2 linked regions of the Drosophila melanogaster genome follow. The protein of the gene in region 2 interacts with the protein of the main gene of each other region in a biochemical or structural test. Each region holds a gene or a part of one and is shown on either strand. Other genes may lie near its edges.

The links.
Region 1: the proteins of dpr17 (region 2) and DIP-gamma form a complex in vitro, tested with the Drosophila melanogaster proteins (one study listed by BioGRID).

What each region holds. Positions count from the first base shown.
Region 1 is NT_033777.3:28,967,201-28,972,274, reverse strand, and holds the start of DIP-gamma (Dpr-interacting protein gamma), read left to right. Parts: upstream 1-1,902; 5' UTR 1,903-2,944; intron 2,945-5,074.
Region 2 is NT_033777.3:12,092,814-12,098,067, reverse strand, and holds the start of dpr17 (defective proboscis extension response 17), read right to left. Parts: upstream 3,193-5,254; 5' UTR 2,768-3,192; intron 2,439-2,767; exon of another isoform or gene 2,020-2,438; 5' UTR 1,392-2,019; coding exon 1,052-1,391; intron 1-1,051.

The sequences.
Region 1 (5,074 bases), about 17 Mb from region 2:
AAAAACAGCTCGAAGGACGAACGGCTGCAGACGAAGACATGGCTCTCAGGATCAGACGGAAGCCGTTTGAGGCGAGGAAATGGAGAATAGTTCTTTTGGCCCGGCCTAAGCATTAGCACAGCACCAGATCAGCCAGATACCCCAGTAACCAGTGTGCAGTAACCAGATACCCAGATGCCCAGATACACAGATACTCAGATACGAGCATAAACGTTATTAATTAACATTCTGCCTGGCTGTCCCTAACAGATCCCGCCTAGATTTGTCCTGCAAAAGTTAATTGAATATCAAGCTAAAAGCGGCTGAAGAAGATCAGGAAAATCAGTGAAAACCCAGCTGAATGCGATGAGATTATTAAACGTCCCATCCGCTTTTCCCTCTTTGCAGTAACGAAGAGCTAACGACATAAACATCAACCGGCAGCCAATTAATGACAGCGAGCTACAGCGTTTATCGTTTCACTTACAAGCCAATACAGCGGAAAAACCCCTACATTTTCCACCCATACCATCGCCCTGTTAGCCACCTGTGAGTGTGGCCCAAAGGGCAGACAATGAAAATCAACTAAGCAATTGGCAACTAAACGAGACACCAGGATCCAGCTCTCCAAGCCGCTGCAGCAACAAAATGGGCCAAGAAAGCGCAGCTGGCTACTGTTTCCAATTAGTTGGCCATGACTGTGGCAAAAGTGTTGGGAAAACGGAGAGGGTGAGAGGAGTGCCGAGGCACACATGCACTGGCTGCAAAATGAAAATGAGAAACTGAAGAAAACAGAGAAATGGAAACTGAATTATTGCTCAGGACGAAACAGAAGTGGGGGGAAAATAAGGGGCCACGGCGCTTGACTCTAACATAAATGTAATGCTTTTATTAGTTATCGATACCAACACATACATACCCCTGGGTGTAAGCTAGTACACTGAGCAAAATGTCCAAGTTTTTACAAAATACAATTTTTTTTATAGGAATAATGATGAACGCTATTATTAAAAGAATATTTTCAAATAAAATGAATGTAATATTTAAACTGAAATACCTTGCATATGAGATAATAAATGAAATGCCTTTTTTAGTAAAAAATTTTAAATAAAGGTTTTCATATAAATTTGTATACTTTTACATTGTTTTTTCAAAGTTCCTTCATGTGTAAGAGCAAGAAAGATATGAAAAGAGTATAAGCGTGTCCCGCGAGGGGTGGTGATCTAAGGGGGCGGGATTGCGACTCCGGGGAAGACAGCGCTGGTATCCGGCGCCAAAGATTTACCAAACATCCGCTGGAAAATACCCCACTACGATTGCGACTGTGACTCCGGCAGCTGTTGTTGTTAGCCAAGTTCGTTGTTGGCAAACGCGATTGCAGCAAATCAGAAAATACTCGCACAAGTGCGAATGTGAATATTGATGCCACGGCGTAGGTATGTTTGACTTATAATATATGTATAGACATACATATGTGTGTGTGTATGGAGCTGAATGTGTGTTTAGTTGGCATTGCAAAACACAAACACAAAACTTCCATTCTGGTCGTGCTCCGCGAGTCGACTTTAGCCAGCCACTTGGCGCTACTTCGCCCACTTCAGCGCCACTCCACCCACTCAGCGCGCCCATCCACACACACACACAGAGGCACACCCACACACACACACACACACACACCCAGACATGGCCACAGAGCGCTCCTTGCTCGCTTACTTGCTACTTCCGCTTCCGAATCCGTTTTGTGTGCTGTCGCCGCAGAAATTTAACGAAGTCACACGTCGCCAATGCCAGTTCCTCTCGCTCTCTCGCCAAAAAAGCTCTGCGAGCCAGCATCCGAAGCATCCGCGTCATCGTGCCGCTCGTCGGCATCCTTCGTGCGTCCAGCCGTTTCGGCTCCAGATGGCAGCATCCTTTTTCATGCTGGCTCAGTTGCGAATTCAGTTTCGGAGCGTTCGGTGGTGGAGAGCAGCTGCATTTGTGCATTTCGCATCGAACATTCATCGTGATCCCAAGCGCACGAAGTTGTTGTTTTGTTTTGGTTTTTGTCGCCAAATTTCGCGGGATTTTTTCGTGAACGTGTGTGTGCGCGTGCATTTATTTCGCACACTGTCGACGGGGCAATACCAGGATCTGTCGCCTGTCTTCGCCTCAGACTTCTCCTCCGGATCCTGCGGAGCGGAGCGTACGTATTTGTGGCTTCAACTCCGTGTGTCGTATGTGCCCGTGTATGCCTCTGTGTGTCTGTGTGTGTGGCGTACCGGCATACCGTCTTTGTTGTTGGCCACCATTGTAATTGCAGTCAGTGTGGCACTGGCAACGCGGCGTATACTTGACATCTTCGCCGCCAAATTGTGCGATTTCTTCGACTCGTTCAGCTCTCGCGCTGGCTCCTTGAATGCGGCTCCTTGTGACATTGGCGTGAAGACGTGAAGAGCCCTCAAAATCCGCTATTCCACTGTGTTCGCAATCCATTTGCCTGCTGCCCTGGACGGGCAAACAAATTTTTGCAATTCAATTTCTATTGTGCATTGCCGATGCGAAATGTGCGCATCGTTTGCTGTCAATGCCAAGTATTCCGCATAAAAATTGAAAATTGCATGCAAATTAAATAAATAGAGTTCCGGTGAGGAGCTGAGCTGAGCTGCGAGTACCAGCTGAGATAGACACTCAAGAACCCATCCTATTCTACATACTCATCGCACATACGTACATATGCGAGTATCCTTGCGAAAATGACAGTTGTGAGTTGTGGCTCAGATTTGGATTCGCATGCGGGGCGCAATCAAAGCAAACGTCATTAGCACTCGCGACATCGCCTTCGATTGACAGCGGGAGTTGGAGCAGCGGCAGGAGCAGAAGGAGGTGCCAGATCCTGCGGCAGGATTCAGCAGCCAGGAGCAGGCACGAACAACTTTACATTTGCATAACTTCGGTGCAGCTCCAGCGTTCAGATTCCGATTCACAGGTACGAGAAAAACTCCTTACCAAAGTCGATTTCCGTTTCAGCAACCCCTTCAGACCGCCCGCCCGCACCGCATCGCTTTGCAACTTTGCTATCATTTCTATTTTCCTGTTTCTGTTTTTCATACCCGATATCTGTATCCCCACCAACATTTTGCGCCCAGCGCCCAGAAAGGGTAAAATCGGAGAATATTCAGCTCGTGCCATGGAGTTGGGCTGTGGCAAATCCATTGTGGTGCACTCCCGAGGTGGCTTGGATTCGCGAGCTCAGGGCCGTGGATTTACCTTTTGGGTGGTCCTGGGAGGTTCTGGCTGGTCCTGATGGCGATTAAGGAACAAACTCAGTTCGCTTAGCAGCATTTAAGCCCTCTCAGTTTTTTAGGTCAGCTCAGTCGCTCTTGATTTAATGATCCAATAAGGAGCTTCTAGGATGTTCAAATTGAAACCTGTTGGAGTGAATCAAGTTTATCCGGGGCAGCAATTAGAATGATATCCTAATGTCATTTCGAATGGTCGGGAAATGCTTTTAACATTTTTTTAAGCAATTGCAAAATGTAATATTCATAAGGTACTTGGAGTACTAATTAAGTACCAATTAATTGAAAATTGCAAAATAAAAATGGCACCAATGTTTAAATCCAACTATATCTTATAACAATTTTAGTTAGGCAAAAGAAGTTTGCTTTAAAAATTAAAATTTAACGATATTTTAAGACCTGAAGACAAGAACTTTCGCACAGCTGAAAAACTCAGTTTAATGACACTGCCAAATAAAACTACTAGTCATTTCCAGAAAGTCTTGTTAGCATTTGATGTAAATTGCAAGGAATAGTTTTAATTCTTGACCCGATTTCGGAAAAAATCGTTGGTTGCTTTACTAGTTTGGTAACTCTGTAGTAGTAGTATTTTTTCAATAATTTTCTATAATTTATTTTACACACTATCACTAAAATGAGGGCACCTGCGCGTCCAGAGCTCGTGACAATAGCATCTCCGATTTGTTTTAGCTTTGCCAGCTCTGCTCTTTGGTTTAGTATCAACTTTACGGCTGTTTCAGCTCCGGATTTCTTGCCCACTCCACTTCGGCTCCATCATGGCCACGTTATCCAACTTTTAGTTATGGCTTTCGCTTTTCGCATAATGTCAGTTTTATTTGGTTTTGGTTTTCACTGACGGGGCGTGCGCGCACTGGGTGGCAGTGGGTCTGCCCAGGAGGAGCAGGGACGTAGAGAATGGAGGCCAAAGTCCCGTCTCAGATCCATGCCAATGCCCAGGATTCAGGATCCAGGACTCAGGACCTGAGGCCTCCGGCCCCTTGCCCGGCCATTCGGCACCCTTGCAAGATTTATTGTGCCTCATACACTCGTACACACGTACACATAACACCTTCTGCCGGGGACCTTCGTCCTCCGTCCTCCCTGGATCCCTTTTGGGTCCTTCTCAGCCGCGCCTTGGGTTTCACATTCAGCTCCATCTCGTTCTTCATACATCTGCAGTCCCATAATCTCTACTATTTGCATCGCAGACTTTGCTTTGGATTTTCCTATGGCAATGGATTTAGTTATGGTTTTTCTTACTCTCCGGCTTTCCGCTTCCAGCCCTGCCATCGCCCAACGCCCCTCTCTCTTCCTCCTGCTGTCCATCCGTCTCCTCTCCGGTTGCGCTTTTTTACTTCACACACACACACACACACACACTTATACAGATTTTCCCGGCAGTCGGACGTTTGTTTTTCCTCTGCCGTTCCGCACACACACTGAGCAAAAAAGGTTTGCCTAGTTATGGCTCAGAAAGAGAGAGGTAATAGTTGAGTTGTCTGGGGCAGGGGTAGCAAGAAGAAGGACGAAAGTCCTGCGGCAAACCGCAGCAAGCGTCCCAGTTGTTGGCCAAGGGCGTCCAGGAATGCGTCTAATGAATAACCATCGTAATCCATGCTGAAGCCGAGGCGATATGGAAATATGTAAGACAGATTAGCTGATTGTTAGTCCGCGATGGGAATGCTATGTAGGGGGGGGGGGTTTCTTTACTCGCTTCAGTTTTGATAAGTTATTTTAATTGATTAGTATTTCACCTCGGAAGTATTTACTTAAATTTCATTACGTGCAGCTGCCGTTTGCTAAAATCACTTGAGCTT
Region 2 (5,254 bases):
CTGTTTAAGGAATAAATACTAATAATGGCATTGAATCACTTGCTTACTTGTGAAAGTTTGGTAGAGTAAAATAAATTTCAAACAAGGCAAGATTGTAATACAAAATGAAAAGCCGATTGGAAATTTAAAAGCATTCATGATCTTAAGTTATCAATTTTTTCAAGTACATATATCTAGCTTGAATAAAAATGACACTATCTATCGATATAATTAGCATATTTCTCAATATTTCATCTTCAAGTGCTTATTACGGGTCAGAATAAATTATATTAACTAGTCACTGTGCACAAGGAAGTTATCTTAATTACGTGGAAAATTCGAATTAAATTATTTATTAAATAGAATTACCAGAAGAACCCCTATATAAGGAATCGCTCCGCAATGCCGCACAACTTTTTGTCATCTTTTATGGGCCATTGTTTTCCCATTTCGCTAGCCCCGTGGCTTCTTCTAATCTAATTTCGGCAAATCAAATGAAACAACGGGAAGCTCAGCCCCCAGTTTCATCCTCCGCAATTTCAAAGAACGACAATTTCCTTGCCTCCACTCCCCCAGCTGATCCAGAACTACTAAAACAATTTGCCAGCAGCTATTTCGCGTCTTGGGATCCGCTTACGAGGACAATTATCCATGTGTGTGTTGCCAAGTGCGCATAAGATTTTTCACCCGGTACCCGAATAAATAAGGAAACGAGGAGTTGGAGATACTTATCCTGTTAATCTGGCAGAACAACAGGAGAACATAATGCACTGAAAGGATGTCGCTGTTTTCCTAGTTTTACGAGGCATGATTTAAGGTTTAAATACAAAAGTGCATTTAGGAAGAAATGTAAAAACTGCATTTTCCTGATTTGATACCTTTGCAAAGAGAGGGATCTGGTTTAACACTAGGGAATATCAAATCCTAAAGTGTATTCCACCCGTTCATAGGACTCCATCCCCAGTTAACTGTGTGTTAGAGTGTGCGACGTGAATGCGTTAAATTAAATCAAAAATGTATGAAAGTCACACGCACACGCAAGGAGTGAGGGAAACCCCCCAGCTGTACTTACGTATCCCAAAGCCGAGAGCTGGAAGGACCAAAAGGACGAAGCTGATGCGTAGCCAAGACGCTAGTGGGGATGTATGGAAAAATCGGCGACACCACGGCGCTCCTACTCCTGCTCGTTCTGCTCGTCCTGCCACTGTCATCTCGGTTGTCAACGTGGCTGGCCTGGTCCTGGTTCTGCTGATTCCGGTTCTTCGACTGGTGCTGCTCCAGCTACTGCTGCTCTTCTGGCTCCAGTCCTGCGTGGCAGTCCCAGTGGCCCAGTTCCTGGCTGCAATGACACTTACAGCGCCTTTTGTGCGCTCATTGTCCGCCTGCCTCCAATTGGGACTCGTTTGCGGCATCGAATCTGGCTTCTCGTGCTCCTTAGGACCAAGACCAGGGCGAGGGCCAGGACCAGGACAGACAGGATCTGCTGATTGCACTGCGCCGTCTTGGCTGGCAAACTTTGTCGCATTCTCTGCTCCGTTCTCGAAATCCCAGTCGAAGTCTCAGATAAATAGGTTTATTGAATTAATACACTTGGGGCTGGCTTGGGTCCTGGCTTGCCTCCATTTGGGTTCTATCTAACCTCTATACTGTTTCATTTTATTTTATTTTATTTCATTTGATTTTATTTCTAGCTTTCGACAAAAAATTGCAATTCTTCTTTATGGGTCGGCCACAAGTTTTTCGATGCGTTTTCTCAAGCGATTTTCGTGCAAACCCATTGTTGGCTTACTCGGTCTCTGCACTTGGTTTTGCACAATTTTTGTGTTGCTTGATTTATATATTTATTTAAGTGTTTTCGCCTTTGTTGAGTGGCAAACTTTTATTGGCGATGCAGTGGCACCAGCATAGACAAATAAACTGGCATCGGAACTCGACTTTATTCCATGGTAATCCAATTTGTTTATTTAGCTTTTTGGTCTCTTCCAAAACTTATTTTGTTGAACAGCACAAATCCGTTTAATCCCTAATAACTACATTTACCTAAAATGTTGTTTGCATACGATTTTATTGTGATTGTAAAAGTGGTTTTGGGATACCATATAATTGAGTATTAAAAGCACGTGAAGAAAAATACGTATTTAAAACAAGAATAAAATATAACCTTACCATTAAAAATGGTATTTCTTTAAAAACTAATCTGAACAGAGTTAACACTTCTGCATGGTAACAAAACTTTTGAAAACATATTTCTACATCTTGAAGTTTTACTTCAACAGCTCAATCAATGGAAAAGTCAAGTGCTCGAACTTGCCAAGAAATATAAATCAACTTATTTCCACTTAAACTTTCATAATCGTTTTGCAATTAATTACATAGAATTTCCTTTTTCTTGGTTCCCGGCTCACTTTCTTAAAAGTTAATAACTTGCACGGCTTTCATGCAGAACTATCACACAATGTTCTCGATGACTAATGGCCAAAACTTTTCGCACAAAAAAAAACCTTAAAAACTTCGACCATTTATAGTGTTTAACAAGTTTCACATTGCCTTTCGATGGGCTTTCTTTGAGTTTTAGGTCGGTGGCAAAAGGTAACAATGGCCATATGGCCGGGCTCTAAACGAATTGTGTGCAGCTTGGGTGGCTTATATTTAATGATTTAACACGTGAGAAAACATTTACACTTCAGTAACAATTTATCGCATAATCCGACTTGAGAATATTTTTTATTTCGCCCTCCTTGGCATTATTCTTGCTGCCCAAAATGATGCACAATAATCCCTTTTTTACGTTACGCGTCCTTGGAGAAATCCTCTGTTTTCTTCGGTCCTGTTTTTGTTCCTCGGCTTCGCAATTCAGCGCGGCATTCTAATATCCATTTGCATAAGGCGGGAGCAAACAAATTTTAAAAGTGATTTCGGCAAAAGACACTCGACAGGCGGCACTGCAGGACACGGGACACAGGACACCCAAGAGGACATCAAGTGGTTTAACTTTGTCTTAATTCTTCTTTTCTTTCTTTGCCACTTTCCATTAACTTTTTTCTTCGTTTCTGTTGTCACATTTTGTTTTCCTAACTCCCGCCTCTTCAGCACAAGTCCCTTTCAGACATAAACGCGTAAAATTGACTTCTGGTTGCGGTTTCGTTTGCGGTCTGGGTTTCCTTCCACCATCCGAGTCACGTCCGCGCGAACCGGATTCAAATTTTCGACTGAGTCGCGTTCGAGCGACGCCATCCCACTTCCCATCGAGTTCTTAACATTCCGAGGCGGATAGTGCCGATTCATAGCCATTCCGTCGAGCGTTCCACATCGGATTCTCCTCTGTTTCATGTGGCATACCGGTTCGTTTCCAACTTCCCCAGCTTTGTGCCGTTCACATCCCTCTGGTTGCACTGAATTTTCGGAATCGAACCGTCGGGTTATTTGCCGGCTGTTTGTTCGCGCCTGCGCGCTAATACTGCTTTGGCAACAGAAGATTGAAGATTTATTTTTTATTCCGCGGATGCCATTTGTAGATGACCAACAAAACACTTGTTTCCGCCGGACAAATGCCTATTTTAGTCGCACATGAATATCAATTGGTTCGCTCGACGCCACCAAAAATCGACCATGATGTAAAATATGAATTGACGCCTCTTAAAAATGGTATAAAGATTGATACATGGAATATATAAATCTCGTAGCTATTCAATTTTAAAATGAAAGAGTTTAAGAGTTAGCAGTTTGTAACCGACCTAAAATATAATATATATTTTAAGCAGTTAATTTCTATTCCCTCTTAAACCGAGTGTTAGCTTTATTTTGACATTAATCTAAGCTGAAATATACTCATCCGTTCTTCAGCACTTTTCTCTAAGGTTAAAGTCACGAGGCAACCAACAAATAATTGGAGTCGTGCAAATGGTGACCCCGTAAATCACGGTGGTGACCGCGTTGGCATTCGGTCACTAAATTAGCTCGGTGTCTGTTGAAAAATCATCGCCTTTAGTGGCCGGAATTTACTGCCCCGGCGAAGACATATCTGTGGTCTCGGGTATTGTGCGACAATATGCCATTATGTAGAATGGAGTGGGCCAATATGCGCGGCTTGATGAACGACGGCCTAGGACTAAGTATAATCTCGTGTGCTTTGTTGTCAAAGAGCAAGTAACAAATAAATATTATTGAACTTTTAAGTCCCCAGGGGGCGGTGGCCTACAGGCAATTGACGCCCCAGTGCGATAACAGAGCCAGCGGGCAGATAGGGTGCTGAATATCCTCACACAGGACCAACATAAATTCCTGCTCAGTTCAATTTATTGTGTATTGACACAGCTTACGGAGAAACAAATAAAAATGTTTTCGAAAGTGCGGGTGCGCTTGGTGCCAAAGTCCATCCCCCCATCCCCCCCTGCGCTGCGTAAAGAACTCCTCCCAAAGGCTCCAGGAATGCGGACGAGTTCCCCTCGGCTACTTTTGCCGCCCTTCCATTGGTCCTTGAAGTCAGGGACCTCGTTGGCATCCATTGTTATTACCTCTTTGTTGTGTTTACACGCCATTTGTGGTATTTCACTCACTTCCACTTCCATGTGGCTCACCTCGTCTCGCCCGCAGCAAAAGATCCTGCGGCGGAAGGTGTCGGGCGGGATGCGGGCCAAAGGCTAAGGGGCTGGCTGGCTGTCGTAAAAGTATATTTGAAATGCAAATGCCGGCGGGCCTTAAAATGCTCAACTTCTGGCTCACAAAATAATCAAAATATACTTTATGTCGCCTTTGAGCCAGTGAAAACAGTGAACAGTTGCGCCAGTTATCGAAGCCAAAAGCCAGGCAACAAAAACCAAAAGCTGCTAAAAGCCCATCAATCGAGTTGTGAAATAAAACAAAAGATCAAAATTGTAGTATGCAGTAAAGCGACTGCATAGTACTCTTAAAAATATATAATATTACACAAGCGACTTCTGGCACATATAATTTTCCATTTCTATCCATTAAGAAACTGTAAATCTTATTTAAAACATAGATTCTAGCAACAATTGCTTTTTTATAACAAAAAAAATATTTTGGGCCCTTAACAAGGCTAAATTTATCAAAAACTTTAAATAAATATTAATTATTCAGTACATTTTTGATGGTCCGTCGGAATTGCTCTTCCCAAAGACCTCAAACAGAAAGTTGATGGCTTTGTATTAGCTAAACATTGCTCAGCTGTTAATTTTAGCACTTTTTATAAAGGTCGTAAATAAATTAATATTTTTTGTTGGAGGCAATCGCATCTGGGCTAAATTTAAGCAAACAT